Linked DNA regions of Neurospora crassa OR74A. The protein of the gene in region 3 purifies or fractionates together with the protein of the main gene of each other region. This does not show direct contact. Links are inferred from orthologs where the notes say so. Each region holds a gene or a part of one and is shown on either strand. Other genes may lie near its edges. The genes, in order: NCU03051, NCU03961 and NCU08668.

What was found.
Region 1: the proteins of NCU08668 (region 3) and NCU03051 purify together in Saccharomyces cerevisiae (affinity purification with mass spectrometry; 3 studies listed by BioGRID). This does not show direct contact. The link is inferred for Neurospora crassa OR74A from reciprocal best matches to the Saccharomyces cerevisiae genes ESF2 and DIP2.
Region 2: the proteins of NCU08668 (region 3) and NCU03961 purify together in Saccharomyces cerevisiae (affinity purification with mass spectrometry, with the first as the bait; 3 studies listed by BioGRID). This does not show direct contact. The link is inferred for Neurospora crassa OR74A from reciprocal best matches to the Saccharomyces cerevisiae genes ESF2 and ENP2.

The regions. Positions count from the first base shown.
Region 1 is NC_026501.1:8,272,372-8,282,949, reverse strand, and holds NCU03051 (WD domain-containing protein), read left to right. Parts: upstream 1-4,050; 5' UTR 4,051-4,164; coding exon 4,165-4,181; intron 4,182-4,250; coding exon 4,251-7,128; 3' UTR 7,129-7,474; downstream 7,475-10,578. Other genes in the region: NCU03052 (hypothetical protein), read right to left, coding at 7,765-8,364; NCU03053 (hypothetical protein), read right to left, coding at 9,256-9,279, 9,420-10,578. UniProt on the Saccharomyces cerevisiae protein: Involved in nucleolar processing of pre-18S ribosomal RNA.
Region 2 is NC_026506.1:2,242,732-2,253,080, reverse strand, and holds NCU03961 (WD repeat protein), read left to right. Parts: upstream 1-4,329; 5' UTR 4,330-4,436; coding exon 4,437-4,468; intron 4,469-4,528; coding exon 4,529-6,434; 3' UTR 6,435-6,704; downstream 6,705-10,349. Other genes in the region: NCU03962 (hypothetical protein), read right to left, coding at 1-3,203, 3,277-3,315; NCU03960 (hypothetical protein), read right to left, coding at 6,705-6,994, 7,062-7,242. UniProt on the Saccharomyces cerevisiae protein: May be involved in rRNA-processing and ribosome biosynthesis.
Region 3 is NC_026504.1:4,157,031-4,166,636, reverse strand, and holds NCU08668 (pre-rRNA-processing protein esf-2), read right to left. Parts: upstream 5,325-9,606; 5' UTR 5,151-5,324; coding exon 4,586-5,150; intron 4,512-4,585; coding exon 4,054-4,511; 3' UTR 3,869-4,053; downstream 1-3,868. Other genes in the region: NCU08666 (HAD superfamily hydrolase), read left to right, coding at 1-813; NCU08667 (hypothetical protein), read right to left, coding at 1,576-2,811; NCU08669 (betaine aldehyde dehydrogenase 2), read left to right, coding at 5,858-6,262, 6,322-7,206, 7,271-7,384; NCU08670 (hypothetical protein), read left to right, coding at 8,454-8,546, 8,607-8,665, 8,738-9,606. UniProt on the Saccharomyces cerevisiae protein: Involved in the small subunit (SSU) processome assembly and function, and in the 18S rRNA synthesis. Required for the early cleavages at sites A0, A1 and A2. Stimulates DBP8 RNA helicase ATPase activity.

The DNA.
Region 1 (10,578 bases), on a different chromosome or scaffold from region 3:
CGGAGCCTATCCTTAATTACCCTATATATAAATTAAAAAATAGCTATAATATAATTAGACTCCCTAAAGTACTCCTAAAGCGGGTATAGATAGTACCTAAATTAAAAGGTAGTATATTTATATATATTTAATATAATATCTACTTTATATAGAATAGACAGAAGGTAACCGACCAACGTAGACTTGTATAATTTTTATTTAATACTTTCATAGTATAATACTAACCTAATTATACAATTAATATTATTTTATATATAATATTTACAATAAACTTCATTTATTATATTATTAACCGGAGTATTAATTAAAAAAATATATCTTTTTTTTTACTTCTTAGAATAAAAAGATTAAATCTAGCGTCTATACCCCCGTCTTATTCAACGTTACGGTTCCTAATACTCCTTAATTAATAATATTCTTTCTAAATATTTTATATAATAAGTATAAAATATTAGTAAAAAAAATCAAAATTTATAGAATATACCTATAAAAGAAAATACTAAATCTACTCCCGTTTATACTCCTTCCTCGTTATATTAATCGACTACTAGCACTACTTTTATTAAAGTACCTCCGTACCCTAACTCCCATCCTAGCTAGCTACGTCCTACAATTTAAATCCGATATATATACAACCTCCTACTTCTACTCTCCTAAGTACTATCGCTATATATAAAATCTTTTATTCTTTACACTCTACTACAGCACTTAATTAAATATTTTTATAATAGCAGCATTATAATATTTAAATACCTAACTTCCATTTATTCTTTACCCTATTATACTATATATCTTCTATATTACCCTCCAAATTCTTTTTACAATTATAATCTTATTAATTCGGGCCCTTCCTCTTACACTCCCGCTCAATACCAACCCCGCTTCTACTTATATAATTAAATTATAGTAGGGATATTACCTACTATCCTACTACAATAAGTAAATATAAAAGTCGATAATAATATTTAACTCCCTATTATTAAATAGAAAAAACAAATATAATATTAATATATTAGTCTAACGGTATTAGTAAACAGGATTCTATCCAATTACAATATATATTACCTTTTAATTGTAGTACTATAAAGTTAAATTCCTATTTCTTCTACTATCCTAAGCCCCTCCCTCTATTTAAACTACCTATTACTAACTACTTCTAATTATTATTTAAAACACTCTCCCCGCGTACTTAATACTTTATATCCACTACTCCCCCTCTATTTTTAATAATATTTATTACTAATAGCAGTAAATTCTCACTATAAACGCTTCGTACGTACTTTATAACTATCTAATACCCTCCTACCCTACTTACTACTCTATACTCTTTATTCCTAATTAATATTATTCTATATAAGACTATTGCTTATTAATATTTATTATATTATATTACAATTACCTACTATAAATTTAAATTACAATTATACCTAAGTAGAAGAATTTATATACCCCCTATATAATAATAAATATTACCTAAATAGTTGGTTAGCAATTTACAAAAGTTAATTTATTTTATAATAATTTCTAAAAAAATAGATATAGGTTAATATATTCCCTAATCGCCCGATACCTTAAAGGGAGTAACCCGTATACTATATTTTAATCCCCAATCGACTTATTAAACTCGTAACTAAATATTAAACTTCTAATATAATTATCGTTTAGCCCGGTTATACTATCGAATAACTTATCTAATATTTAATATTCCAATCTAACTATCGAACTCCTAATCTAAATATTAGGACTTTAATTAAATAATAAGATACCCAATCAAATTATCAAACTTCCGGCTAAATTATCCATTTCTTAAGTAAATATTCAACTATACCGCAAGCTACGTACAAATAGGAAATTAACGAACTTTGAATTTTTAGTATATTAAATCTATAAATTAATTATTTTTTTTTATAGTAGCTTTAATATTCTATATATTAAGCTCCCTCCTATTTAGAATATAATTAACTATACTAACTCCTAATATATTTAATTCGCTTAAGGATTTTAAAGTATACTAAATATAAACCGGGGCAACCTACTAAATAGACGGAAAGAACTCTAATTTAATACTAAATCAATAATAACTATACTTTTTCTATATAATAGAATACAAATAAACTTCTTCTCCTAATAATTATAAGCAATACTAACGTAATAGAAATATAAATTATAAGCTACTTAATTAATAATAAATAAGTAAAAGTAATAATAATAAAGGAAGTTTAAGAGGAAATAGAAATTTTAAAGGAAATTTAGGAAGAAATAGAAATTTAGGAGGAAATTTCCTATAATAAAAGTAAATAGAAGTTCTAAATCGCTTCCACTACCCACTACCTAACACCTATTCCATTCCGTCTACCCTACTATTACTAAAGCCCTTAGCGCTACTACCCTCCAACTATATAAATATTTAAAATAATTACGTAATATAATAATTAACTATAAAATATCCCTACTTAACTCCGAATAGAGACCTAAATAGAAGCTAGAGTCGTTAGTAGTTTTTTTATTATAATACTAAGGGGTATTATAAATAGAACCGACGAATACTATTTTAACTTTCTTTATTTAAAAGTAAAATTAATAGTAGCGTACTCCGTATATACAATCTAATTAATATATAAATTTCCACTTCCGTAGGGGACCTTAATATATATACTATAAGAAATATAGGTAGCGACCCCCAACTCCCACTATATATCTACAATATACTAACGTTATTATAAATAATTACTATTATAATATATAGATTTAAATTATTACACACCTTATCGTAGGGTTTCTATAAATTAAAGCGTAATATATTAGTAATACTAGTACTAATAACTACCAATAATCTAAGATCCTAATACAAATTCGGGGTACTATATAAAGGGGCTTAAAAAAAAGCAGGTGTAAAATAAATACCCGGGCTACGTATTTCTTTATACTACTAAACGCTAGCTACTAGGAATAGAAAATAGGAATAAATATTTAATATTTTTACAATAATAGTAAATAAGGGAATTGCCCTAAACTACTTTAAGGGTAAGGCACAAAGTATACTACCTAAAAATACCTATAGCAACGGAATTAAGATAGTAAATAAATACTAACAGCAACCCCAAAGTAGTAAATTATAAATAAATATTAAATAAATATTACAATAATTTCAAATAATATAATAATACTCATATAATATTTAATTATACCATTCAACTTCCAATCGTATATCAATTAATAATTATTATATTACATATACAATAGTAAAAGTTTAATAAAATAAATTAATATATATATAGTAGGATATTTATAAAAGAAAAAAGAATAAATTTAAAATATAAATTGAACCTTCAAAAATAATTCTTATACGAGTTTATTTTGTATTGTAAATAGATAGTTTAACTAATTATTACTTCGGAGATAAAATAAAATATTAAAGATGAAGTACCTTCGATAATTGAACATTCTATTATATAGAAGTTTCTATTATATACGCGAACCACTTTTTAACGAAAATTCCTATTGTACGCACTACTTTTTATTCTATATAAAATACTATTACTATTTAAGTATACCGTTCTAGCGGGTCAGCTATCCAAACGCAAATAGACCAACTACCGAAACGCATTAATTACAATCCACAATTGTTCAACCAAACATACAATTATCGAAAAGGGGCTTATACAAGCGGATTCGTTCTATAACGCTTTTGCACTGTCAACACCACTGCCTGCACCCTGTTCTGGCCCTGTTGTCAGACCCCCTATTCCCAGCAGGGGGTCAGGTCCTCGCTTCAGGCTGGCTGACGTTGCTGGCTCCAGGCTGAAGTACTTTGGCTCCACTCTGGCGCCGGAAGACACGCCGCCAAGCCTGGAAACTGCCCCGCAGAACCCGTCCAGGCCGTGATACGATGCGGCGGCGGGACCGGGCCACTTTCAGACAGGGGCCGGGCCAGCCACAGCGGACAGTGGCCGTCTGGGCAGGCAGTGGCTGGTGGAAATGGACGCGGCAAAAGTTCTTATCTTATCACTTGCCGGACTGGCAACGCCAAAAAAAAGTTCAGGGACGGCAACCCACTGCGCAGCGGCGACACGATTGTGCTAGTGGACATTGAATCGCGAGAGACCTTGCGCATGTTATTTTGGATTGGCATCTTGTACTAGTGGCTGTCCAATTATCGCAAATATGGTCAAATCATACCTGTAAGCCTTGCGATTCTGTCCTACTTTTCTCTCGCCTGATGGCATCTCTAATACACCTGGGAACAACAGCAAATTCGAGCCCTCCAAGTCCTTCGGTGTCGTCGCAACCAGCTCCTCGAATCTCGTCTGGACCTCCTCCAAAGACAAATCTGGCACCGGTGCGGGCCAGGCTATCGTCGCCGCCAACAATGAGGTTCTAACTTGGGATATCAAGAAGGGCGAGCTTCTCAACCGCTGGAAGGACGAGAACTGCAAGGCCCAGGTCACTGCCATCGCCCAGAGCAAGACCGATCCCGACGTATTCGCTGTCGGCTACGAAGACGGCAGCATCAGGCTGTGGGATAGCAAGATCTCCACCACCATTGTCAGCTTCAATGGACACAAGTCGGCAATCACGATACTGGCCTTCGACAAGTCGGGAGTGCGCCTGGCCAGTGGCGCAAAGGATACCGATGTGATCGTTTGGGATTTGGTCGCCGAAGTCGGCCAGTACAAGCTACGAGGACACAAGGATCAGATCACAGGACTGCGATTCATCGAGCCCGAGCCGCAAATACCCGAAGGCGGCGACGACGAAGAGCAGGCTATGGTGCTGGACAACGAAGCGACAGAAGGTTTCCTCTTGACGACCGGCAAGGATGCGCTCATCAAGCTTTGGGATCTTTCATCACGGCATTGTATCGAGACCCATGTGGCACAGAACAGCGGCGAGTGCTGGGCGCTTGGTGTTTCTCCCGACCTTAGTGGATGCGTCACAGCTGGCAACGACGGCGAGATGAGGGTATGGGCTTTGGATGTAGCAGGACTCGCTTCGTCAGCACGCAAGGTCGATCTCTCGCAAGCAATCAACTTCCTCCACGATCGCGGCACACTACACCGTTCGAGCAAAGAAAGGGCCGTCGAGGTCATCTTCCACCCCCGTCGCGACTATTTTGCAGTACATGGCGTCGAGAAGTCTGTCGAGATTTGGAGGATACGAAACGAAGCCGAAATCAAGAAGAGCTTGGCGAGGAAGCGGAGAAGAAGAAGAGAGCTGGCTGCGAAGAAGGGCAAGAAGGAAGCAGACGCGGAAGAGGAAGACGACAAGGCCGATGATATTTCAAAAGCAGACATCTCCGACGTCTTCGTGCAGCATGTTATCGTGCGGACAACAGGCAAGGTTCGGTCGGTCGCTTGGGCCCTCAGTCAAGGAACCAAGGATCTCCAGCTCCTTGTTGGAGGCACAAACAACCTGCTCGAGACATATACCATTGTTGGAAAGGATAAGCTCAAGTCCAAGGGTGATGCGCCAGACTACAACAAGGCGCTTGCGGTGGAGCTTCCCGGACACCGAACAGACATTCGTGCCCTCTCCATCAGCTCAGACGACAAGATGTTGGCTTCGGCAGCAAACGGCTCCCTCAAGATCTGGAACATCAAGACCAACACATGCATCCGGACATTCGAGTGTGGCTACGCGCTCTGCTGTTCCTTCTTGCCTGGCGACAAGGTGGTCGTGGTCGGAACCAAGGAGGGCGAGCTTCAGCTTTACGATGTTGCTTCGGCATCTCTGTTAGAGAGCGTCAACGCTCACGAGGGCCATGCCATCTGGTCACTACAGGTTCACCCAGACGGCAAGTCCGTTGTTTCTGGCGGTGCTGACAAGACAGCCAAGTTCTGGGACTTCAAGATCGTTCAGGAACAGGTTCTAGGCACGTCAAGGACAACCCCCAAGCTCAAGCTTGTCCAGTCCAAGATTCTCAAGGTATCAGACGATATCCTGAGTCTCAGGTTCTCCCCCGACGCGAAGTTGCTTGCTGTTGCCCTTCTCGACAGCACTGTCAAGGTCTTCTTCGTCGACTCTTTAAAGCTTTACCTCAACCTTTACGGTCACAAGCTGCCCGTTCTCAGCATGGACATCTCCTACGACAACAAGCTCATTGTCACAAGTTCCGCCGACAAGAACATCAGAATCTGGGGTCTCGATTTCGGTGACTGCCACAAGGCTCTCTTCGGTCACCAGGACTCCATCCTCCAAGTTGCTTTTGTTCCTCACAACTCGGACGGCAACGGCCACCATTTCTTCAGTGCCAGCAAGGACCGCACCATCAAGTACTGGGATGCCGACAAGTTCGAGCAGATTCAGAGGATCGACGGCCACCACGGCGAGATCTGGGCCATTGCCGTTGCTCACAGCGGCCAATTCCTCATCAGCGCTAGTCATGACAAGAGTATCCGCGTATGGGAGGAGACGGACGAGCAGATCTTCCTCGAAGAAGAGCGCGAGAAAGAGATTGAGGAGCTGTACGAGAGTACGCTCACCACCTCGCTCGAGCAAGACCCCGACGCCGAGGACGAGAACCGCGAAGTCGGCGCTGCGTCCAAGCAGACGGTTGAGACGCTCATGGCGGGTGAGCGCATTGCCGAGGCGCTCGAACTCGGCATGGCCGACCTCAACGCTATCAAGGAGTGGGAGGAGGCCAAGCAGCAGAACCCCAACGTGGCGCCGCCGCAGCGCAACGTGCTTTTCATGGCGCTCGGCAACATCAGCGCCGAGCAGCATGTCATGAACGTGCTGCAGAAGATCAAGGCGTCGGCGCTGCATGATGCTCTGCTCGTTTTGCCATTCGCCACCGTCCCCATGCTCTTCACCTTCCTCAACATCTTTGCCATGCGCTCCATGAACATCCCGCTTACTTGTAGAATTCTGTTCTTCATGCTCAAGACCCACCACAAGCAGATCGTGGCGAGCAAGACGATGCGCGCCATGTTGGATGGCATTCGCACCAACTTGCGTGGTGCACTCAAGCGCCAGAAGGATGAGATGGGGTACAATGTTGCGGCGCTCAAGGTCGTAGGCATGCAGTTGCAGCATAAGAGCGTGAAGGATTATGTTGATGAGAAGTGGGAAGAGGAGAACGAGGAGAACAAGGCAGTTAAAAAGCGTGCTTTCGTGCAGGTTTCTTGAGCGTCGGATGGTTGGGGTTGGCGAAGGAAACAAACGCCAGCATGATACATGGGAGTGACCTACAGGTGGAGGAAGGGTAGTGTAGGTGGAAAGAGTAGAAGGGATCTGGAAGAGAACAAATCCGTTCCGCACATAACACAACATACATATGATGTCTGACGTAGAGGAGAAAGGGGTGAACGGTGTTGATACCGTTTCTCTTTCGTAAGGTAAAATAGGGCAACGTTTCTCTTTTTTTTGGAGTTGGGGTCTAGTTAAAACGGCATTGCATAGTATTCGTTACCCTTATCTCCAAATTGCTCTGTCTTGAATCTCCCCCATCAAATTCTCCATCTTAACTTCCGGAAGGGAAACGCGTGATGTCTTGATCAGTTCGTCTTCGTGGTGCCGCAATCTATCGTCCACCGTCCACTATCATTGTCTTTTTCCATCCTTCGTCGTCTTGTATTCCCCCTTTTCCCTCATGTTCCCCAATTCCCCAATTTCCCCTCACACCTGTCCCACCTTCACTCCCTCTCATCTTCCCATCCGATCCCCAAACCTCTACTACCTTAACCTCGTTCAGCCGCCTCTCGCTCCCTCGGCCCCAAGTCCCCCCCCCTCCCTCTCCCCTAATCACACTTGTCGAGTTGCCTCTCACATAACACAACACCGAACCTCAACCCCCGGGTCCCCTCCACTGGGTCCGGCACCAAGTTTAATCCCCTTCTTAATCCTGGTGACCATCCTGACCTGATTCCGATCGTAAACTCCCCTCAAGTCACACTCCGGACACGGTTCGCCGCGGGCGATGTAGGCGGGCGGAGCGGGCTTGGCTACTAGGTGTTGGTGGTGTGGGCAGTTATCTTGGATCTGGTGGTAGGGAGGGCCAGGAAGATGGACTTGGCAGGTGTTGTGGCCTTGGATTTGGAGTTGGCCCTGAATGGGAGTGGTAAAGGCAGCGGTGTGGCTAGGGGTGTGATTGGGATGGGGATGTTGCTGGTAGGGGCAGAGGGGTTGGTGGCAGAGGCCGTCGGGAGAATGGTGGTTGTTGTAGTGGTAGTTGCGTGTGTTGTTGTTGTTGTTGTTGTTGTTGTTGTTGTTGTTGTTGTTGTTGTTGTTGTTGTTGTTGTTGTTGTTGTTGTTGTGGGAAAAACAGGGACAGGTGTTGAAGCCCGCACCTGGGAGACAAGGAGTGGTGATGCGCATCCAGCGGTGTTTGCAATGCGTGTCTTTGTAGAGGGTTGTTTGGCACATTGTGGTTGTTTCCCGTCGGTGGGGTGCTGGTGGTGTCAAGGTTGTTATGTCTCCTACTTCGTTTCCGCCTCCTCAAAGGGTACGACACGGCGCCTTGGTATTAGGATATGAAGGTGAGGGATGGCTGACTGTCTGGGAGGTGGCCGTGACGGCCTGCTAGCGACTTCTTTTTCCTGCTTTGCTTTTTGAGGAAGGCGCGATGGGCGCTGGCTCCGGCGGTCCGAGGTTGAGGACTTGACTACAATAGACACCGGGAGATATTAAGGGCAGCGAGAAAGCGCTGGGGATGGCTTCTTGTAGTTTGTTTGAGCATTAAATGGGAAATTATTGTCTTGTCAAGGAGGAGGGAGCGCGAGTGACTGTGGTTTGTGTGGGTGAACTACCTATGCCGATGATGAGACGAAAGGGGCAGTCACTCACAAGCTTTCTGGGGTCTCGACTCGTGGATCATGGATATCGCGAGGATAGCGATGAGTTCAGTTATGCCGTCCAATGTCACAGGATACAAACGCACCAGCCAGTGTCTGGAACCGAGGGTTGGAATCGAACCCCAAACAACCCAACTTGATCCATGTTGAGATCTTGGACAATCAGACGCTTGCAGACCCTCCGGCTGAGTGCGGGATCATGTGTCTACCAGTTCTGCATATAGGATTATTAATATCCCTATCAGGGTTCGAGACGACGAAAGAAGGGGTCCATGGAAACGACCAGATTTATGAACTCGTGTTTTGGTGGATGTTAACTACCTCATAATCTTGACAATCCAAAATCAAGGTCCTCTTGATTCCTATTGTGGACCTTTACCTGGTTGATTCATCAATCAATAGCTTCGTCAAGCCTCGGATCATTTGCTACCTTTTCCGAATTTCTTCACCCATTTTTTGACCTTTATCCAACAGATGAATACCATAGCTGTCGTTCCGTCTTGGCCCAAGCAACTCTACCCATCATGACTCTTCTGAAGCAGATGAGGTATGTGTCGGCACAGGGGATGTGCTCTGGGACCGACCTCTTTTTGTAGATGCCACATCTGCACTTTTGTGCTGCCGTACCTTTTCATGAGTTTCACTTGAGACGTTGTTACCGTCCTCCTTGTCACTTTCATCGCTGACGGAGATGTCTGCAGATGAATGGTGTTCCTGCTCCTCCTCATGCTCCTCCATCTCCTGAGCCATCTCTTGATCCAGATTCTGGTCCTGATTGTGCTCCTTTTTCTGCTCCTCCTGGTCCTGGTCCATCTCCTGGTCTTGTTCCTGGTCCTGATCCCGAACTTCGCCCATCTCCTGATCCGGCTCTTCCAGTGCTGCTCCAGCCTCCGGAAATGATACTAACACGGCAGGTCGCTTGTCAACCGACTGTTCCTGGCTCTGGCTGTCCTGCACCGTATTCCGAGCCTCTTGCTCGGCCAATAGCTGACCGGCTGGTGACGCTTCATCTGGTTCGGATTGCGCTTCTTGTGCATCCGATGACTGTCCTGCAGGCTGTTGTCTCGGAGGAGTGACCGGGGGATGCGGGGCTACACCGGAAGCCGCCGCCTGGGGCGATTGGGTGCTGCCACTGACGCTTACAGGACCGGGGCCAGGCTGAGGGGGAGCTGGTCCGGGCGACCTGAACTCTCTCGACCCTGGAAATGGTGGCACTGGCACCATTCCCGGTGCTGGACCAGGAACTTGTCCCGGTCCGCCCGGTGCAAACGGGGGAGGTTGAGGTGGAAGGTTGGGAGGAAGCGCAGCAGGCTGAGCGTACGGAGGCGCCTGGGGGGTTGCATAATAGGGCGTGAATTGAGGAAATTGAACTATCATTGGCATCTGGAACTGCGGACCATATGTGTATGGGGCCGGGTAGGATCCGGGGTGTGGCTGCGGCGGAGGTCCTCCTTGGTATGGTACACCTTGATGAGGTGGGTATACTGGGCCTCCTGGGCCAGGTTGGGGATATGGCGGGTAGCCGGGGTGGCCCAAAGGAGGACCTGGCGTATGGGGAGCTTGGTGTGGAGGACCATAGTGAGGAGGAGGAGGAGGAGGAGGAGGAGGAGGCTGACCATAGCCATGCTGAGGATTGAAAGCGGGCGGTCCCGGCTGATAAGGGTATCCTGGCGGCGGTTGATGATGAGCCACTTGCGGAGGGTACGTGTGCTGTAACTGATGATACTGCGGTGGGATTTGGTCAGGTTTGGGCTGATAGGGGTTGAAAAATGGAGGCTGAGGCTGT
Region 2 (10,349 bases), on a different chromosome or scaffold from region 3:
GCTGGTTGTTGGGTCGCGAAGTATGATAGAAGCCCATCCTCGAGATCCGGGACAGTAGGGAGGATATCAAACGTCCCTAACTTCAGGGATTCGTAAACACTGCGTATCCGCTGCAAAAAGGCAGAAGCGCTATCCCGTAAGCCGTCAACGTTAGGGAACAAGCAAACTGATACAATATCCTTGGCGCCTTTTGCCGGACTAAGGCCTAAACTTTCCCAGAAACTGATGGCTGTTGGCAGCATCGAGAAGGGAGTTTCATAGCGGCGGATTTCTATATGGGGTGTTGGTATCGGGTAGATGTTTCGAGTTGACATTTCTGAACCCATCGGCTTAGCTTGAATACGTTGTGGCTGCGCCAGTGCTACCAAAGGCACATCTTGTACATCTGCGTATGGCTTGAGCGAACACTCAATCGCATCGGCTAGTGACCGTGGCAGGGCCTTTCGTAGCCCTTGCATGGAGTACCGCACTGCTTTGGCCAACGTTCTGCGCACATCCTGGGGCTTCCGGCTCAAGATTCTGGGAGCGATCTGTAGCGAACCGGTCGCCACTTGCTCGGTAAGGATTTGAGCAATGGTAATGAAATTCGTATCAGAAAAAGAAACCTGGAGCCGTGCCGGCTCTGGATCTGCAAAATATTTGGCGATAGAAAACTCGGGCACCTCGGGGTGAGATAACCGAACCAAATCAATCGACCCATATGCAGGTGTATCTGCCACAGCACTTTCGAGGTCTTTGAAAGAAGCAGCAGTTGAGAGGACATCGTCGTCCAGACGTCGCCTTGAAATTCCTGACTTGGCGAGAGAGGGTGCGTAGTTGCTCTCGTCGCTCAAGTCGTCTGGATCAGACGCCCAACTAGAGTCATCCGTCTCTGACGCAACTTCGTCGCGGCCTGTCAAGCTACCGCCAATCCCGTGAGCTATCCTCGCTAGAAGAGCCCCAAAGTTACTTGGAGGTTCCTTGGGAGGTTTTTCGACTCTCGTCAATAGAGGATTTTGCAGTTCTAATCGCGTTTTTTGCATTTCTTGCACGGCCGGAATCATGTAATTGAAGGGGCCGTTCTCGGTGTACTTTTTGTTGACCAGGGATAGTGAAGGGTCGAAATCAACCTTGTCGAATTCGCTCTTTCGTCGCTGAGAAAGTGCTGTAGTAGGAGATCGTGGTTTCGGAGGCGACAGAAGTGAGGCCTTGATTCGCTTGTACACAGTCTCTCGGTTAAAGGGGCTGTGCGGTCTTTTGATCCCTATCGTGGAATTACGATTGAAGCTCTCTTGATTTGCTTGTTGTCGACTTCCTTCAGCGAGGGTACTGCGTGCGTGTTTAAGCTCGGGTTTGGTGAATTCTGGAGGCGCTGGCTGCGGAATCGTCTTGTAATCTTCCACTCTGTTGTTAGTCTGGGGAGCTGAGTTAGTTGGTTGACCCGCATCAGCGGACAAATCCGTTGTCGTTCCCAGTCCTGATATTGCACTGAAATTCATCTCGACACCCTCGGTCTGTTCGTTGAGTTGTTCGTCGAAAAAGTTGAAATCAGCATCGGTAAGCTCGTTGCCTTCGAACATGTCTTCCCCGAGATCGCCGAACATATTGTCACCCTCCAATAGATTCCCAGCCTGCTGCTCCCGCTTGTTGTCGCCGCCTTCCCAGCCATTGCCAAAGTTCTCCGTATGGGGGGCGTTGTTCTTCATCACAGTATCTATGCCAGCCATCGCGTTATGCTGGGGCTGGTTTGCAGGACTGGCAGCGAAGCCTGTCTCGGCAGAGGCAGCCATGCCTAATGGTTGAATTCCATCCGGAGGTGTCGGGTACATTGCACTGGAAGCGGCTATGGCCCCACCGTTGCTCGGCCGGCGCAACGCCATAGGCGACGCAGCACTAATCTGGTTGTTCTTTGAATCAGCGTCAGCAATACTGCGAGACACGGCTGCTAGCGCCTCCCTCTCGTCTCTTTCCTTCTTTCGCTTTGCGATCGTCTCTTCTCGCTCAGGAAATCCTTGGCACCATTGCCTCGCGTCATCTACCGGATCTAGCGATTCGGATGCGCTCGCCACCAGTGCCTTGGATGAACGGCTATCAGCGCCAGCATCGATCCTCGGTTTTCTAAAGCAAAGCACCGATGGCCAAGCCGCGATCTGAGGTGGGTTCGTCAAAGGAGGTCTCTTGGCGTCTTGCCTGTGTTCGTATGGTTTTCGCTGCAGGAAGTGAACATTGAACCAGGAGCAGCCATTGATCAGCGAAGGCGATATACCACGCATTTGGAGTACTTTGCAACACGTTGCCTTCCATTGTGAGAGCCTATCGGTTGGATCCGGCTTTAGACGACTGATTTGGGTGTCTGGCGAATGGCCATAGCCGCTATCAAGTCCATACATGTCCCCATCCACTGGGTTCAGCATGAAACCGAATGCTCCAAGAGGAGCAGCAAGCACCACTGGGTTTGATGGGAGCATGTTTGACCGCGCCAGCTCCGCAAAAGATGCCAATCCCTCAAGCAAAGAGACGGAAAGAGAAATGACGAGTGTCCCGGTCGATGTAAGATAGACGCGAAAAGTACCAAGGGCACAGCTTTGCGGCTTCGGGCCTAGGATGAACTCATCCAAGTAGTATGCTTGAGAGGGGAGCAATATCGACCTATGGTCCAGCGGAATGGCTCCTATCGTGTGGCACAACGAAGAGGACAGAGATGCCAGGGTCGCAGTAATGAAGAAGTCGTATTTTTCCTTTAATGGCACATGGGCGAAGCGATCCGAGTCCGAAAGTATGTGCGACGCGCCCTTGTTATCCATAACTGGAGCGCCGGGCATGACACCTGCTGCGGTAGGAAAGGCAGAGGCCTGCGGATTCCGGAATGCAGCGTCAACAACGGAACCGGCAGAGGACGAGCTGTTTGGAGTGTTGAGAGAGTTTGTCCCAAGCTGTCTGCTTCTGAACAAGCTACTGGGTTCAAAGCCGCCTTCTCCAGACAAGCCTAACGAGTAACCGCAGACCTCCATCTTGGCGGTGAGCCCTCGCTCCTCGGGTCCCAACATGGAGCCATCCTTGGTTGTCAAGTAAAAGACCCATATACATCGCCGGGTGGTATCGACGTGGACGAGGTGGCCATCCCGGCGCAAGGCATCCTCGACGACTTGTGGCTGGAAGGTGTAAGAGGCTGTGTTGGCGGCAACGGGTTCGTAAACGCGAAAAGAAATGGCGGAAAGATTATTCTGCAGGAGAGACGCGTGAGTTAGGGGGGGGGAGTGGGAGGCGGTGGTCCGAGGACGGGACAGGCCAGCATACAATTAGCAAGGTATTGGTATCATAGTCGCCAGTGTCCATATCTGAAATAGAGATGCCTTTGGAGGCGGAGTCGCAGAAGTCGTAGTGACCATGCACCGGGCGCGAAGGCGTGTTAGCGGAGTGGGATGAGGGCGCATGTAGGCCGGCGACGGCGGCCTGAGGGACGGTGTGATGGCGTGTTGGGATGAAAGTCTACTGTGGCGACGCTCAGAAGTGGAAGCTGTGGAAGCCGAACTTCAAACAGCATGGATGATGAACTCGGTAGTTGTCTTGAGCTGTACGTCGTTGGGATGCTGGACTCCATGGCAGCAAGGCCCCTGTCCATACAGCGCGAACCGTCGCGGATCACCGACCATGCGCCCACGAGGTCATTTGCGGGTTCGGGACCTGGGAGATGGGACGGAGTGAGGAGCTGTAAGGCGGGAGGGGGATGCGATGGGATGACGGGATGCGATATTACTGTAGGTTAGTGTCGTGGGACTGAAGGATGGTGGACATCGGTTCAGGTAGGTAGGTAGTTGGCGGTCCGGTGGTAGTAACGAATACGGTGACGGCGGGCAGTAATCGTGACTTCACAGCCGCCATCGAGGTGGCCGACTCGAATCAAAAGGAATTCGGTCCAGTAAAGTCCATTGCAGTCAGTTGGGTTCCAGGTCGGCGGGATGCCCTGCCCGCCGATGCGACAGGCGAACAGCCACGCAGGCAGTTAGGTTCGGATCAGCGACGGGGGAGGACCCACACTACCTCTAGAGGTATCCACAGCTGAAAGGACCCTGCTGCCAAGCACAATCCAGGCCTGCCACCTCACCTACCTAGAGGCACCCGGCCTAGGTACTGCAATGACCTGCTGACGGCGACGCCCGCCTACCAGAATTCAAAGGTCCACCACGGGCAGTCCTCCCGTCCCGCTTCCTCTTCAAGCCGCCTTATCGCCCTACTACCTTTCGCTTTATCGCCGGTGGCTCTCCGCCTTCCTTATTTGGCGACCATGGCACTTCTCTGAACTTTTTGCAGATTTTCTGCCGCAAAAAGTTCAGATACGGGTTAGGGTTGTTCTCCAAAACTTCCCATTCAGCAGATAGTAGCAGTTGAAGCTTTCTCTGCTTTCTCAACATCTTCCATCCTTGCCCCATCCCTCATCACCAACAAAACCACCCATCATGAAATTGACAAATCCCGGCGCGGTGCCAGTGTACGTCTATTTGCCATTGGAAAAGAGAGATCCGCTGTGAAATGCTAACCATCATCGCAGATACACCGTATCTGGGCCGTCGACTGCGAGACCCCTTCCAGAATGGCTTGCCCGCCGCAGAAAGAGATCGGCCAAGTACGAGCCCGAAGAACTCAACAACTTCGAGCTCCTCCAGAACTTCGACTTCGAGGAGGCCAGCAACTGCGTCCGTGTCAGTGAAGATGGCAACTGGATCATGAGCTCCGGTACCTACAAGCCCCAGTTCCACGTCCACAACACACAGGAACTGTCGCTGTCTTTCGCTCGCCACACCAAATCCGAAAACACCACCTTCATTATGCTCAGCCAAGATTACACCAAGAGCGTACACCTCCAATCCGACCGTTCGATCGAATTCCATACCCCCATGGGATGTCACTACGAAGTCAGACTCCCGCGCTTCGGCAGAGACCTTGCATATCTCCGTCAAAGTACAGAAGTGCTCATTCCCTCTGTCGGTTTGAGTGCGGATGGTTCTGGTATGGGCGAGGTTTTCCGCCTCGATCTGGAGCGCGGCCAGTTCCTGAGGCCATGGCAGGTGGATGTGGGTGAAGATGAGCCCGGTGCTGGTCTTCAGGGAAGCATCAACGTCGGAGCTGTTAATGTCGCGGCCGTCGCCGAGTCCACACACGGTCTTTGCGCCTTCGGAACGACCGTCGGCACAGTCGAGTTCTACGATCCCCGTAGCAGGAACCGCGTTGCTGTATTGGGCGGCCAAGAGGGCGAAATCACTGCGTTGGATTACAGCAGAGACGGTCTCTCTCTTGCGCTCGGAACAGGCACGGGTATTGTTCAAGTTTTCGATCTGAGAAACCCTCGCCCGCTTATGCGGAAGGACCAGGGCATGGGTCTTCCCATCAAGAACATCATCCACTTGACGACTCCTACCGAGGAAAAGAAGCTTCTCACGGCCGATAAGAGAATCATCAAGCTCTGGGACGAACAGAGTGGCGACCTCTGGACCTCAATCGAGCCGACCGTTGACATTAATCATGTGGCGCATGTCCCCGATTCCGGCATGCTATTGACGGCAAACGAGGGCAAGCAGATGCACAGTTTCTTTATTCCCAACCTTGGCCTGGCTCCCAGGTGGTGCCATTTCCTCGACAACATGGTCCACGAAATGGAGAACGAGAAGCGTGTCGACACATACGACAACTACAAGTTCCTTACGATACCCGAACTCAAGCAGCTCAGCTTGGCTCACTTGGTTGGCAAGACCAACCTGTTGCGTCCTTATATGCACGGTTACTTTGTACATTCCAAGTTGTACGACCAGGCTCGTCTCATTGCCAATCCGTATGTCTGGGAAGAGGAGCGGGCCAAGCGCGTCAAGGAGAAGGTTGAGAAGGCTCGCGAGAGCCGTATCAGAGGTGTCAAGAAGGTCAAGGTCAACCAGAAGCTGGTTGACAAGATTGTTGATCGTTCCGACAAGAAGAAGATTGCCGCTGGCGTCTTGGGCGATTCTCGTTTCGGCAAGCTGTTCGAGGATGAGGAGTTCAAGGTCGATGAGACGTCCAGGGAGTTCAGAGCCCTCAACCCCAGCACCCAGGTTGGCGGACAAGATGTCGCAGTACAGCATGTCAAGGACGACTCTTCAGTTACCAGCAACAGTGACGATGAGAGCGATCCGGAAAGCGAGGTCGAAAGCAAGAAAAAGAAGAGCAAGAAGAGCAAGGATGACGTGGTCATGCAGGTCTCGTCGTCCAAGATTGCGGGCGGCAAGGCGAAGGATACGGCATTCGGCCAAAGAGCTCCAAGGACCGGGCGCGTCACTAAGACCCGAACGGACGTGGTCGGAGAGCAGAAGATTACGTTCGTGCCCGAGTCCAAGAAGAAGAAGCAGGCTGAACCCGAGGCTGCACCAACACGGAAGAGACATGATGGGAGGCGAAGTGCAAGCACGAACACCTTTAGACGACTGTAAAACGCCAGAAGCTTATTGGTCCAACCCTATATACTATACATGTGAAAAAGTCATGGTATCTTTCATGTCAACTCCTCCAGGCCGTGGTGAACCGGCCAAGAACATCATTGCCGTCCACGGCACACATTTCTTTCCGAATACGAGTCGCAAAGCAATAGGCTCGCGCGACCAGCGATACCCAAAATATACCCCAAGCTTGCCATTTTCGTCATCAAATGGTTCATTATATCTCAACTCGTGCTGTCTGATTTTCTCTTGCGCCACACCGGCTCACTTCCGACTGAAGTTGATGCGTGTCTTTCCTGACTTCTCCGGCTTCCCCATGCCCTTTTCCAAATCCAGATGCTCGGGTTTGATGCGCGGGGTGGGTGGCACATCATCGATCCTTACACGGCCTTTATGTTGGGATCTGGTTGATCGGAAAGATCCCTTGACCGATCTGGGGAACTCGCTGCGTCGTGGGGTCAAAGCCGTGACGACCCTCTTTGCCGACTTTCGAATGGTCTCCCTGACCTTCCACTCATTTTTCTTTGCCAGGAAGAAGAGAACTGCGCTACCGACTGTTGGAGGGAGGGTCAATATCATGTCCGGTCAGTGCAGTATTGCTGATGGGCGAGAAAGACTTACCACCGAAGATGGTGACGACACAAACAACCACAATGATGGCGATCAGACCACCTTGAGATAGCCCGACGTCGTTTGATGACGTCCCGGCCGCACCGGCGATACTTCCACTGTCTCCCATGTCTGGACCAGCACCGACGCTTCCTGGGTTCGCATCCGGCTCGTAGTTGGCGTCTGACGACATGACTGCAGTTGCTGGGGGTTCCCCTCCCTTTATATAACTGCCACTGCTGTCTCTTGTTCCAAACCAGGCCCGGCCTCGTAGTGACGTGATTATGAGATGTCGGTCTGATGTCGAAAAGGTCGATATGAACTGAGGTGAGACCACTTTATTTTTCTTTATTCTCAGTTGCGTTGCACGGCAAGCAATGAAAAGTCGAGACCGATAGGAATGCGACGCGCGACTGTCAAAGTCGGGTGATGAATGATATGACAGTGGGAAGAGGAAAGTGAATAAAAAATATGAAACGCAATCAAAGAGGAGGAGGACCAGAAAGGGAAAAAAAAAAAAAGGCGGGCGTTTGGGAGGCAATAGAGGTGGTTGTAGGGGTTGGTAGGTAGGTGGGTATGTAATTTGTATAAACGCCGGTGTTGCTTCGTGGGCTCGCGGCGGCTACTCCTACTTCCAAAAGAGGTATATGTGCGATGTTAATGGTTGATACCGTGATTCGACAGTGAGCAGTACTTAATGGAGTAGACTTAGGCCCTCTTCTTCTTCCCGCTTCCTTGAGTGGTTGCCTCCTAGAGGAGCTACCTTAGTGTATGCTTAAAAGGACCCAATGCCCCCGCTCCCTTCTCCCCGCTAGGCAAGGTACTGTGATCTGACGATGCCCAATCTTTCAATGCGGACGAAATCTTCACCTGTCGTTATAGACCCGGATAAATCGACTGTGTGCCCAGATATTTCGGCGGTGTGGAACCTAACTAGCCAATGAGGTGTCATGGAATCCCAGCGGCTCAACTACCTCTACACTACACCAGCGTTCGCTATGGTCATTCTTACAATGCGATGCTTGCCTTGAGTTGCTTCTCAAGATGAGGGAGATAGAATTCGAAGGACTAAGAGATGGTGGTGGAAATGAGGCATTTGAAGCTAAGGATGCATAGAGACAAACGCGAGGCCAAGGTCGGAGACAGCCCGTTGGAAAGTACTACTCCTAGAGCCAAAGAGTAATACAACGGGAGCTCCAAAGTCAATACCAATTAGTTGCTCTAAGTTGTCGTTAATAGAAGGCGAGGAAGGGTAGGTGACTACGCGCAAAGTTAATGCCAATTGCCAAGTTCAAGGGTCTTGGCTTCTTGGCTTGGCTTGGTGCTCAGTTTGTATGGCCCCACACCGCCGAAATATCTGGGCACACAGTCGATTTATCCGGGTCTGTCGTTATGTGACGCCGAGGTTCGCCTGCGTTTACTGTGCCTGGGCGTGCCTGGTTGAACCTGGTCAATGGTCATGCTGTCTCACTCAAATATCACCATCAACGAGTCGCCGACCGTTGCATTCGGCACTTTGTCTTTCCATTACTACATCAAAGAACGGTTTCTCGCCTTCCCGACTACATACCTAGGTGATCATCCAGCGACCAGCGGCCTGTCTTGATATTACTTGACCTCACTTAGGTATCCGTTCTCGTTGCGCCTTACCGCCGCCATTGCTTCCACTGTCTCACGTGTATAGGCAATTTCATTCAACAACAACGTCCATTGACGAAGAGAAAACACAGAAAAGAGGTCAGGCCCAGATAGTACCAGCACATAAAACTCCATGGCCCCTGTCCGCCCAAACAATTCCGCCTCCGCACTAGCGCCGTCCACTCCCAACCCATCACTGTGATCCTTTCCCCCTGGCGGCCCTGAAACAATCCAGGTACGCTAGCCAATCCAGGTCCTGATTGGCCAGAAACCCTTAAAGACTCACAACTCCCGGCGCTTGCAGACGGCCATCGTTAACCAATCGGACAAGGGCTTCGGCTTGGTTGCCGCTGTACTACTCGTACCTAGTGTCCACTATCCAACGACGTCCGGAGTGTCCAGGGGTGTGAGTGTGATATGGTGAACATGGGATGGGGGTTTTTTTTTCAATTTTTTTTTTCAATTTTTTTCTTTTTTTCCCAACGACAAGTGAACATGATATGATGATCCTGTCTCCTTTGTGCTTTTGTGTGTGTGTGTGTGTGTGTGTGTGTAAATGAAGTTGGTTGATAAATACCATGTGGGCTTGGTCACTGTGACCGTGATGGTCACTTTCACTTTCTTTTTCATGTCTCTTCTATTGCGCTACCTACCTATCCTTACCAGACAAACGGACGGGCCATTCGATAGTGCGAAGGTATATAAGGTGATGTTATGCTTCTGTTCTGTCCCGCATCAAATGTGATGCCCCCCGAGTAGTAATAGTGATTGATGCTGGTGAGTGTGGCACACATTATTCGTTACGAGGTGTCATGCGGATAGCTTGACTCTCATATGCCTTGTTCGAATGGCTTCCTCCGTGAGATGGGGTGTTATCTTCGCTCTCCTTGGTATCCCTCTTTCAACCTTTCAGTGATTTGAGGATGGCTTGATGATTGCAGCCCTGGCGGGTTGTCTTTTGTTGCGCTGTCTTTTCCCCAGAAGTCATCGACGCTTTGCCAATGAGGTTAGCATGCTATTTTACTCTTCTTTCCTCCAGCTTGGGACAATCAGGCTCACGAGAATCCAGCTCCTCGATCGCGGTCTCCGTACCTCCTCAAAAATATTAGGCCATTCCAACTAATCCAGCATGTTGACGTTGCGTCTTGAGATGATCCTAGAATGACTGAAGCACTGACGTTGTCGATGTGGGGAATTCATCCAAAAAAAAAAAAAAAAAAAAAAAAAAAAAAAAAAAAAAAAAAAAAAAGTGACACTCACCGCCGACTCGAGCAGCAGCCACAAGCGTACCCGGATATGAAACCAAAGCCTCAGCAATATTGAGCTTGTGATGTAGCCCATGAGTCGAGCCATCAGTGTTGCCAACTCATGCTTATCTTTGTGAAAGACGCGCAAAGAACAAGAGTGACCTAGATACCAATTCGAAGTGAACCCTCTTCTCTCCTAGTGACCTAAGCTACCCACGCCACGCGCTGATTTTCATATGGACTCCACACTAAAGCAAAATGAGCCACCTCTGCTCTTAGCAGTGATGCCTTGAGAAAGCGGCCATTTGTGAATGAGTGCTGTTGTCGAGGTGCTTCAAGAACTGAGTGAACTGGTCGAAACAGCACATCGGTGCTTTCGCTTCGTCGCCTACCCTCCCAATAAGCTAATAGTACA
Region 3 (9,606 bases):
CCCATCACCCGTGAGCAGTACAAGGAGGAATACTACGCTCTTCAAGCTCAGAAATTCAAGCATACCACGGCTCTCCCCGGTGTCGAGGAGCTTCTGCAGAAGCTTGGCAGTACCCGCTACTGGGATCTCAAGGGGGATGCGTCTGCTACTACCAATGGCGCCACCGACAAGCCCGCCCCGAAGCCTCATCGGGTTCACATCGCCCTCGCCACATCATCCCACGAGGCGAACTTTCGCATGAAGACAAACCACATCCAGGAGCTCTTTTCGGTTTTCGAGACCCACCGTCGCGTTCTCGGCGACGACAAGCGCATCCCCGAGGGCCGTGGCAAACCCCTTCCGGACATCTACCTGATCGCCCTTAAGACGATCAACGACTCACTACCCGAGGGCGAGAAGCCCATCACACCCGAGGAATGCCTCGTCTTTGAAGACAGTATTCCCGGTGTTGAGGCTGGTCGTCGCGCCGGCATGCGCGTTGTCTGGTGCCCCCACCCAATGCTCAAGAAGGAGGTGGACAAGAATGGCGACGCCAAGCTGGTTCTCGCGGGTCTTCTTAACCAAGCTGACATTGAGAAGAAGAAGGCTCAAGCCGGCCTCACCAACGGCAAAGTCGATGCAGACGACAAGCCGGGCGAGATCGACGATGGCTGGGCGGACTACCTCCCCAGCTTGCTCGACTTTCCCTACGAGCGATACGGAATTCAGATTCCCGACGCTGTGGTCGACAAAGAGCCCTCGATGGTGGAAACTGCCAAGATCGACGAGGGAGAGGTCCTTCAGGCGGTTCAGACTGAGGTCACCGATAACTGAGCATACCACTTCATGCTCACTCACAAACCCAACTTCCTTACATTACTTCGCAAGTTAATTTCTTTGTCTGGGTTCTCACAATTTCACTTATCGGATTTTTTTTTCCTGCTGGCAGGCAGCATAGCGAGTCACCAAACAACTGGCTTAGGCGAATGGAGTTTGGGGTTGGGAGGCTACGACCACAAAATTGAGAATGATTCGGCAGGGACCTTATGGCATGGCCTGAGGTATAGAAGGAATGATAAGTAGGGACATAGGAGGATCACGTAATTAGCATCTGACGCAATTGCTTCCACCAAAAGATTCGTTAGAGCTTCGTAGATACCCCTTAGATTTATTCATGCGCATTACAACAACTGAATAAGAACTGTCGTCTCTTGAACGTGACCAAGTGAATGCTGGCAAGTTTCCAACTTCACGAGAGTGACATTGCAAATCAAAGGCGCATTACAACCCGGAGGTCCCCTAAAGTCACCCATATCGTTAGGTTTTCGCAGCAAGTTCAACATGCTCGGAAAATCCAATCAAGTTCGAACGGAAAACATCTCGCAAACTACCTAGGTCCCAAACAAAACTGCACTCTATCTCTACAAAACCACTCAAATCATTACGATACAAAACCATAACCCCTTGAAAAAAGAGAGCACAGCAGACACTCAAACAACATGACATTCTTCACACTTCACACTCTTCACACCCTAATTCCCCCTCGTTTAAGCCCTCCAAGCCCACCGAAAACCACCAAACCCTCCCTTAAACAACTCAATGCGTCTCATACCCCTTCTCCTCCTCCCCATACCCCTCCTCCTCTTCCTCGTCCTCCTCCTTCTCACCACCCATTCCAAACCCCCAATCAAACCCGTTAACCTCCTCACTAGCCCTCCTTTTCCACTTGGTCTCAACCACCGCCGGCGTAGGATTAGGAGTCCTCTGCAGCTCACTAACCAGCTTCCTCTTGCCTTCGCCCGCGACCCCCAGCGTCTCGGCAGTCATCATCAGCCGAGCGGACACGGTGGCAGGGAAGCGGAGGAGGTGTGCATTGGAGAGGTAGTCTTCTGTTTTGGCGTTTAGGAGGGGACGTGGACGGGGACGGATTATCGGTGGGGAAGTGGCTTGCGGGGATTGGGGAGGTTCGGGGTCGCATTGATTTTCGTGCTGAGGGGATTGAGTTGGAGAGGAAGAGCGAGAGGAAGAAGAAGAAGAAGAAGAAGAAGAGGTAGGGAACACTGGGGATATGGTCGAAGGAGGAGGAGGAAGAGGGAAGTTGGTGATATCCAAGGGAGAGGGGATTCCGCGACGGAGGATTGGACTAGGTGAGCGGTAGCGACGTGGAGAGTGCAACGACCCAGCAATCGGAGAAGAGGGGATGCTGGTGTTCGGAGTTGGACTGGGTGAAGAAGTGGAGAATGACCGGGACAGAGAAAGACAGCGGTATCGATCTTGACCGCGGAGGGGGCTAATAGTAGGCGAGGAAAGCGGTGTAGGTGTGGAGGGTCTGGTTCGGATGTCCGTGATCTCGTCGTCGTCATCGGAGGCGTTGCTATCCTCAAGATGATTGCTGTCATTTACCGGCGCTGCTGACGAAGAAAATGAATAACAAGAGAATCTATCCTCTGATTCTGGGGACCTCAGCTTGCAAGAAGTTTCCAACACCCAATGAGAGAACCACTCGGCATACCATTCCTCGAATTCAGGGGTTGAGGAATGGCTGGTAGCAGGTTGAACTGACTCTTGATCCCCATCTTGTGAGTGACCGCACCTTGAGCCAACGGTCGAGAAGCAGTCCTCAGGACGCAGCGAGTAATCACTTCCCTCGCTACTCACAAACGAAATAGCGGAAGACGACCTAGAGGTACTCTCCGTAACACTTGCTGCGCTCGCCCTCTCCCAAGTTGAAGCCACCGCTTCTTTCTCCCTCCGCTCACGGTGTTCGGCCAACAGGATTTTGGCCATCACCTTCCACCACATATCTTTGACCTCCTCCCTTGTCTTGAACATTCGGTCTGCTGGCGTCGGATCTTCATTTATCTCCTTGCTGTTATGGTCGGGGTTGGCAACACTCTGTGCAGATGGGGTCGCTGGCGGTGTTGACGAGATTGGCCATTCTAATAGCTTCTGCGAGTTTGACTGTTTGTCGTTTGGGGCAAAGGGGTAAAAGGTTGGTGCTCTTAGCCCAAGACGTGATCCGAAGGTAGAGCCCATAGGATTGGCTTGTGTGTCCCAGAACCACCGGTAGAGGGAGGCGAGGGGTCCGTAGATAAACCTTTGCCAGTAGAAGCTGAAAATTTCGCGGAGTCTGGACAAGCAGTCACTGGTTACTGGTAAGATGCTAACTGTCCTTGGCTGGAAAAGCACAAGGTCCGATTTTGTTGGGGGCGGAGGAGAAGGGGAAACAGATCGAGGAGTCGCTTCTCGCTCGAGAGAGGGGTTTCTTGACCAAAGTAGGGGTGTTTGAGTTGCCGAACTGATGGTTTCATTTGATGCTGAGGATGTGCTACTCGAAAACCACCTGGGTGAAGATGTGGTCATTTCCAGGCTCTCATCCTGAGACGAGCCACGCCCAGCACAGCAACTAGGTTTCAAAAGGTATATATGTTCCCACAGGGTACAGCCATCCTCGACCGTTTGAATACATGCATGGAAGAACTTGTGCATCTGATCTTCACTCAAATAACGACAAGAGCGGTCTTGGCGGATATGCCCGATGATATAGTTTGACCAGGACGTATATTGGAGTATGGTGTCCAGGCGACGTTTTGAGAAATGTTCGCAACCTTCCTCATCTACGTCAAGCATACGCTGGATGAGTCCTTGAAGTATGCGAAGGGCGTAAGTCGGGTGAGTCGTTAAATATGATCCCCTTTTGACAGCATTTGCGACAGGACAATTGGTGAAGTTGTATCGAGTGTTGACCGTATCGTCAGGGGCACTCTTCCTCGTGGCTGGGATTTGGAATGTGCTCATGGTGGGCCAATTAAACCAAACGCCGGCCGGTTTCTGTGCAGCGTCGATAAGTAGGGATATGACAAAGTGACGGAAATGGAGATGCTCTCATAGCAAAAGGAAATCAGGTTGGGTATCAAGATGACTGAAGGCAGAAAAATATATACAATTGCCTAAGGGAAAGAAAATCAACACCACCCATCTCTAATGTCTCGGAGTCGCTTTGACGACAGAAATCCCACAGGTACATGAACGCTCCGTGTCTCAAACCTATTGTTCGGGGGCCAAACGAGAAGGTTAAAAGATCTTGCTGAGCACTCTTTGTACTTGCTCGGGCTGTGTCTCATCGAGCTTCCTCTTCTTGGCCAAGGGTATTTGCTTGAATGTTCTCCTCTTATCGTCGTTTGTTGTCGTCGTCGTCGTTGCCGCCGCCGAGGGAATAGTAGATTCTGTGACTTGGGCGGCACCCTCACCGCCCGCTTTGCTGCCCTTGGACGCCTTCTTTGCCTGAATGCCCTGCAGCACCTTGGCCCTCTCCACGTTGCGGACGAACTCCTTGTTTTCTTTGGTTGTCTTGGAGATTTCGGCGCGCATTCTGCTGGATCGCTCGGCGTTCTCAGCAGCGATTTGTTCGGTCAGGTTGTGCCACTTGAAACCCTTGAGGTAGAGCAAGTTCCAGATATCGTCGCGGTAGTAGGATCCCTTCTTGCCTCCGATTGGACGGGCATTGAGGAGTTCGCATGCCTTTTTGGCGTCTGCAAACAAACGGGTTTTCTTGTTAGCGTCTTTGTACTTGGGTCTCAGCGAGTCTCACGGAATGAAGACCTACCCTTCTTCTTGACAAACTCAATCCAGCCTTCTGTAAACATCTTCTTTTTATTGCCTCCGCTGCGAATGCGCTTGCGTCGCGCAACTGGGTCCTCGGGGGCCAGGAAAATGCGATTCAACTTTCCGTACGGCTCCAGCAGGGAGCGCAACTTGGCAGGAGTCATGAAAGGTGGTACCCTGGAGATGTACACCACTCCCGACTTCTTGATGGCCTCCTCCGTGACGATGAGATTCTTCTTTGTGAGAGGCTTCGTCATGCCCGGAAGGTCACTCGCTAGTACCGACTTCTTCTCCTTCTCCTTCTTTCCATCCTTCTTTTCCTTTCCATCTGTTGTTTCCTGGCCGTCCTTTGCAGGTGCATCCTTGCTTTCAGCATCATCTTGGTCGTGTTCCTCCTCTGCGTCGGTAAAGTCGTCGGCTTCGCTGTCCTCGTCATCGCTCACTCTTCTGCGCTTGGCGTTACGGCCACCCTTTTGGAAATCATCCTCCGAGTCAGAACCGTGGCCCGCATCGTCGTCGCTATCGCCAGCATCGAGGAACTTGTTTCTGACATCGTCCTCCGGCATTGTCGATGGATGATTGACTTGTGTTTCTAATTGGTGGACTTTTTGTTGTATGCTGAAAGTTTCGTAGGTTGAATGATTGGGTCGTTATGGGGAGATTTAGGGCAGTCGGGTGTTTGTTTGCGTTGGAGAAGGATCACGACGCGATTCGCAAGTCTTCTTTTGGCGTGGAAGCGCTGGACGGACATGGCTGCTGCTGTTTCTCAAAATTTCTGGCTCCACTGGGGGCCACAGGCAGGAAGGGACCGTGCACGCAGGGCCGATAAGAGATAACAAAGTATGAATGGGAATGGAAGTTCAGGTTGGCTGATCCCGTCCCCGCCTTAGGTTCCTTCCGAGGTGGAGTTCATACACTGCAGACCCGACCCCGCGCTGCCAACAACTCTTTATCTTATCAAAGCTCCCCCGGCCTGCCGCCGAGAAACGGAGCGGGAGCCACTCTGTGTGCGGCAGTGTGATGTCGTGTTCCTGTTTGTTAGTGAGACGGCGACGGGAGGGGCGACATGGTGTCATTGGGTCATGGGAATCAAGTCGGTTTGCTCTTTTCTTCTTGTGGAAGGTATAACGAATTATAGTACTAAGTACTAGAGTAACTGAACTGTGTCTTTTCTTTCCCTTTGACTCGCTCTTCCTCCTTGTGACAACCAACACTGCATCCCACTTCACCATCCTTATCACTCGATACCTGGCCGATAAGCCTACTTGTAACAATGTCGGTCGAGGTGATCACCACCATCTCTCCCACCACGGGGGAACCCATCATCACTCGCAATGGCATTTCAGAGGAGGAACTCGTCCAACTGCCCGAGACTGCCTTCAAGGCCTTCCAAGGATGGCGCACTACCAAGTTGGAGGACAGACAGATCATCGTCAAGAAGGCCTTGAAGTTGCTGGCCGAGAAGCAGGATGAACTTGCAGAGGAACTCACCGTCCAGATGGGCCGCCCCATTGCTTATACTGCCAAGGAGGTTGCCACTGCCATCAAGCGCTCAGAGTATCTGCTCAAGATCAGCAACGATGCTCTGAAGGACACCGATGGCGAGGAGGAGAAGGGATTCAAGAGGTTCATCCGAAAGGTGCCTGTTGGTCCTGTTCTCATCATCTTTGCTTGGAACGTAAGTGGTGTCCATCATGTTGTTTTGACACTCCATCCGTCACCTCTAACTTTGCGCAGTACCCCTATCTTATTCTCGTCAACGCCTTGATTCCCGCTTTATTGTCTGGAAATTCGGTCATTCTCAAGCCCTCGCCTCAGACACCCACAATTGTCGAGCAGGTGGCCAAGGTGTTTTCCGAGGCTGGGTTGCCCGACGGAGTCATCCAGTACTTCCACTCGGGTTCGCCGACAGTGATTGAAACAATTGTGCGAAACCCCAAGATTGCCAACATTTGCTTTACCGGCTCGGTTGCTGGTGGCCTGGCCGTCCAGAAGGCCGCGTCCGATCGCATCGTCAACGTCGGCCTCGAGCTGGGTGGCAAGGATCCTGCATATGTTCGCGGTGATGTCGATATTGCCTGGGCTGCCGAAGAGATTGTCGACGGCGCAGTTTTCAACTCGGGTCAAAGCTGCTGCTCGATTGAGCGAGTGTACGTTGACGAGAAGATTCACGACGAGTTTATTGCGGCCGTCCAGAACGTTCTTAAGGGATACAAGCTTGGAGATCCGTTGGATAAAGGGACGCATCTCGGCCCAGTCATCTCGGCGCGCTCCAAGGAGACCATCCAGGCACACATCAAGGACGCGCTCGACAAGGGCGCCAAGAATGCGACACCCGAGAATGAGACATTCAGCATTCTGCCAGACAAAGGTAACTTTGTCGCACCGACATTGCTGACCGGCGTGGATCACACCATGACCGTTATGAAGGACGAGACTTTTGGTCCCGTCATTCCAGTCATGAAGGTCAAGAGCGATGCCGAGGCAATTCAGTTGATGAACGACAGCGAATTTGGCCTCACTGCCAGTATTTGGACCAAGGACACGGCCAAGGGATACGAACTCGCCGAGGAAGTAGAGGCAGGGACAGTTTTCGTGAACCGTTGCGATTTTCCCAGCCCTGTAAGTACTTTTGTGTCCTGCGACAACAATCAACCACCTCGTTTCACTGACGCGCATCTCTCAGGATCTGGCCTGGACTGGTTGGAAGAACTCGGGCAAGGGTCAAACGTTGAGCAAGTACGGCTTCGACCAGTTCGTCAAGTTGAAGAGCTACCACCTGAAGGACTATCCCAAATAGAGTTTCGGGACGCCCTGCCGCCCGATTTTCGACGCAAGGAGGCACAAATCGTCAATAAGGGAGGTATTCGGGCGCGTGCGCGCTGCATATCATCAGCAATAGATAGTCTTTCCCTGTTACCTGTTATTGAACGAATCCAAGACACCAGCCTTTTCTGCTTCAGGGATGTCTCAAAGAGATCCCACGTCAATTGTTCCGCATTCCAAGGCTCTCATCCAAAACCTAAGCGAGGGGCGTCGCCGGGCTCATGCTTTTCCTCATTCCTCTTTCCTTCCATCTTCTTCTCGTCTATTCGTCTATTCACGATCCTTCACTTCACCCGCGGCCCTTTGAGGGTATCAATGTCAATTCTTGTCTGCCCTGGCCAAGGGAACACGTTCCTGAAGCCTAACCGAGTTGGGTTCGACGATCCGATGCGGCGGTAGTATATCTTCTTTGACCTCTCTCTTGGGTTCCCGGGAAGTGTGGTCCTCTTCAGGCAATCCTCTCTTTGAGCCCGGATTCATACTTCAGAAGGGCTAAACTGCCGAGCCGCACTGGGTTGTCACCAGCGAAGGCCAGCAGAGAAGTCAATGGGCCACTTGGACGGGCTTGCCACTCCTTTGTCTTTCTGATCATTCACTCTTGTTTTTGTTCATCCTCTCCTCTTCCGCTCTTTCCACGGTATCGTGTACGTTCGTTCTGCACTGTTGTGCGTCATTATTTCGCCATTCACTTCGGGCATTAGCTTGACTCTCTTGTCTTTGGATCTCCTGTTATCTCCTCATTTTTCACACAGTCCTTTGTTGTCCATCATCATCAGGTACAACGTCGACCTCGGTAACGCCAGACGCCCATCATTTTTGCATCTCTTCCTGCCGATAAGACACGTTACTTTCACTCACTTAGACGCACACATGCGCATGCGCAACCTCGGAAGCGGCCATCGATACAGATTTATCTAATACTCATTCGTTTTTTACATTTCCCACAAACTCACTTAATGCACTAATACCAGCCGTCACAACACGGTCATTCTTTCATTCTTCTCTCTCTTCTGAAATCAAGCGGGCGGCAGTATATCGCAAACATGCAGGTCTGCTCCAACTTCAAGAGGTTCCGCGCCTCGCTTCAGGAGCTTTTGGGAATCAAGCGGAGGAAGCAAGTCCGGGGTCAAGATATTGTAAGTGTTAGTCCTGAGCATAGCAACGACAAGCAATCCACTAACAATCAAACACCCCAGTCGGCTCCTTACAACTTCAAAAAAGAAACCACTGTTATCCCCGGTATCACAGAGGAACAGTACGTCTTTTCTCCCTTTCAGAGGTACTATCCCTTCTCTCTGCGCAATGCTAACCCTGCCACTCCCATCAGACTAGAAGGTCTTCGCGACAAAGCCGCCGCCGCCCATCTCAACCCCCTACGCCAACACTCGCCCACCTCTGCCCGATCTCGCCGCGGTGTCGACCGTAACAAGAACAAGCACAGCAACAACAACAACAAAACCACCAAGAGCCACAACCAACTTCGTTCCTCCAGCTTAGCCAACCTCCCCATCTTGGACTCAACCACCTCTGCCCCCTCAACCTCCGCCAACAAAAAACAACTACTCGCCTCCAAATCATGTCTCTCCCTTAGCGCTCTCCCCTCCTTTCACGGACAAGGACAGGGACATCCGCAACCACAACCACCCCGCAAGTTCTCAGTCCCCAGCTCCGCTTCCTCACCCACCGTCTCGCATGGATCTACATCAGGAGGACACGGACATGGATCACTCGGTTTCGATCTGGGACTCGGCGGAGGAGAGATGGGAACGGGACTGAGGCCTCCTAGTCCCTGTTTGAGTTTGCCTACGAGGATTGGGATGGGAATCAATAGCGCGGCTAGCGCCAGTCCGGTTACTCCGACGTCACCACTGGGATCGGGAAGTTTGGTGGCAGCCGGAGGAGGAGGAGGAGGAGGAGGAGGAGGGGAGTCCTCGCAGCAGCAGAGTGTGAGGGCGCAGAGGAGTAGGGCTTCCATCAATCAGCAGCAAAGGAACGGAAGCGGAAGCGGAAGTGGGAGTGGCAGTGGAAGTGGAGGAAGTGGGACAACGACGCCCAAGTCGCCTTCTCCGGTGTCGGTCTTGGTTATTGGTACAGAAGCTATTAGTCTCAGTCCTGTTAGCCTTGTTCATCAACAGCAACAGCAACAGCAACAGCAAGCAAAACTACAACTAAACACTTCTCCTTCCTCGACTACGA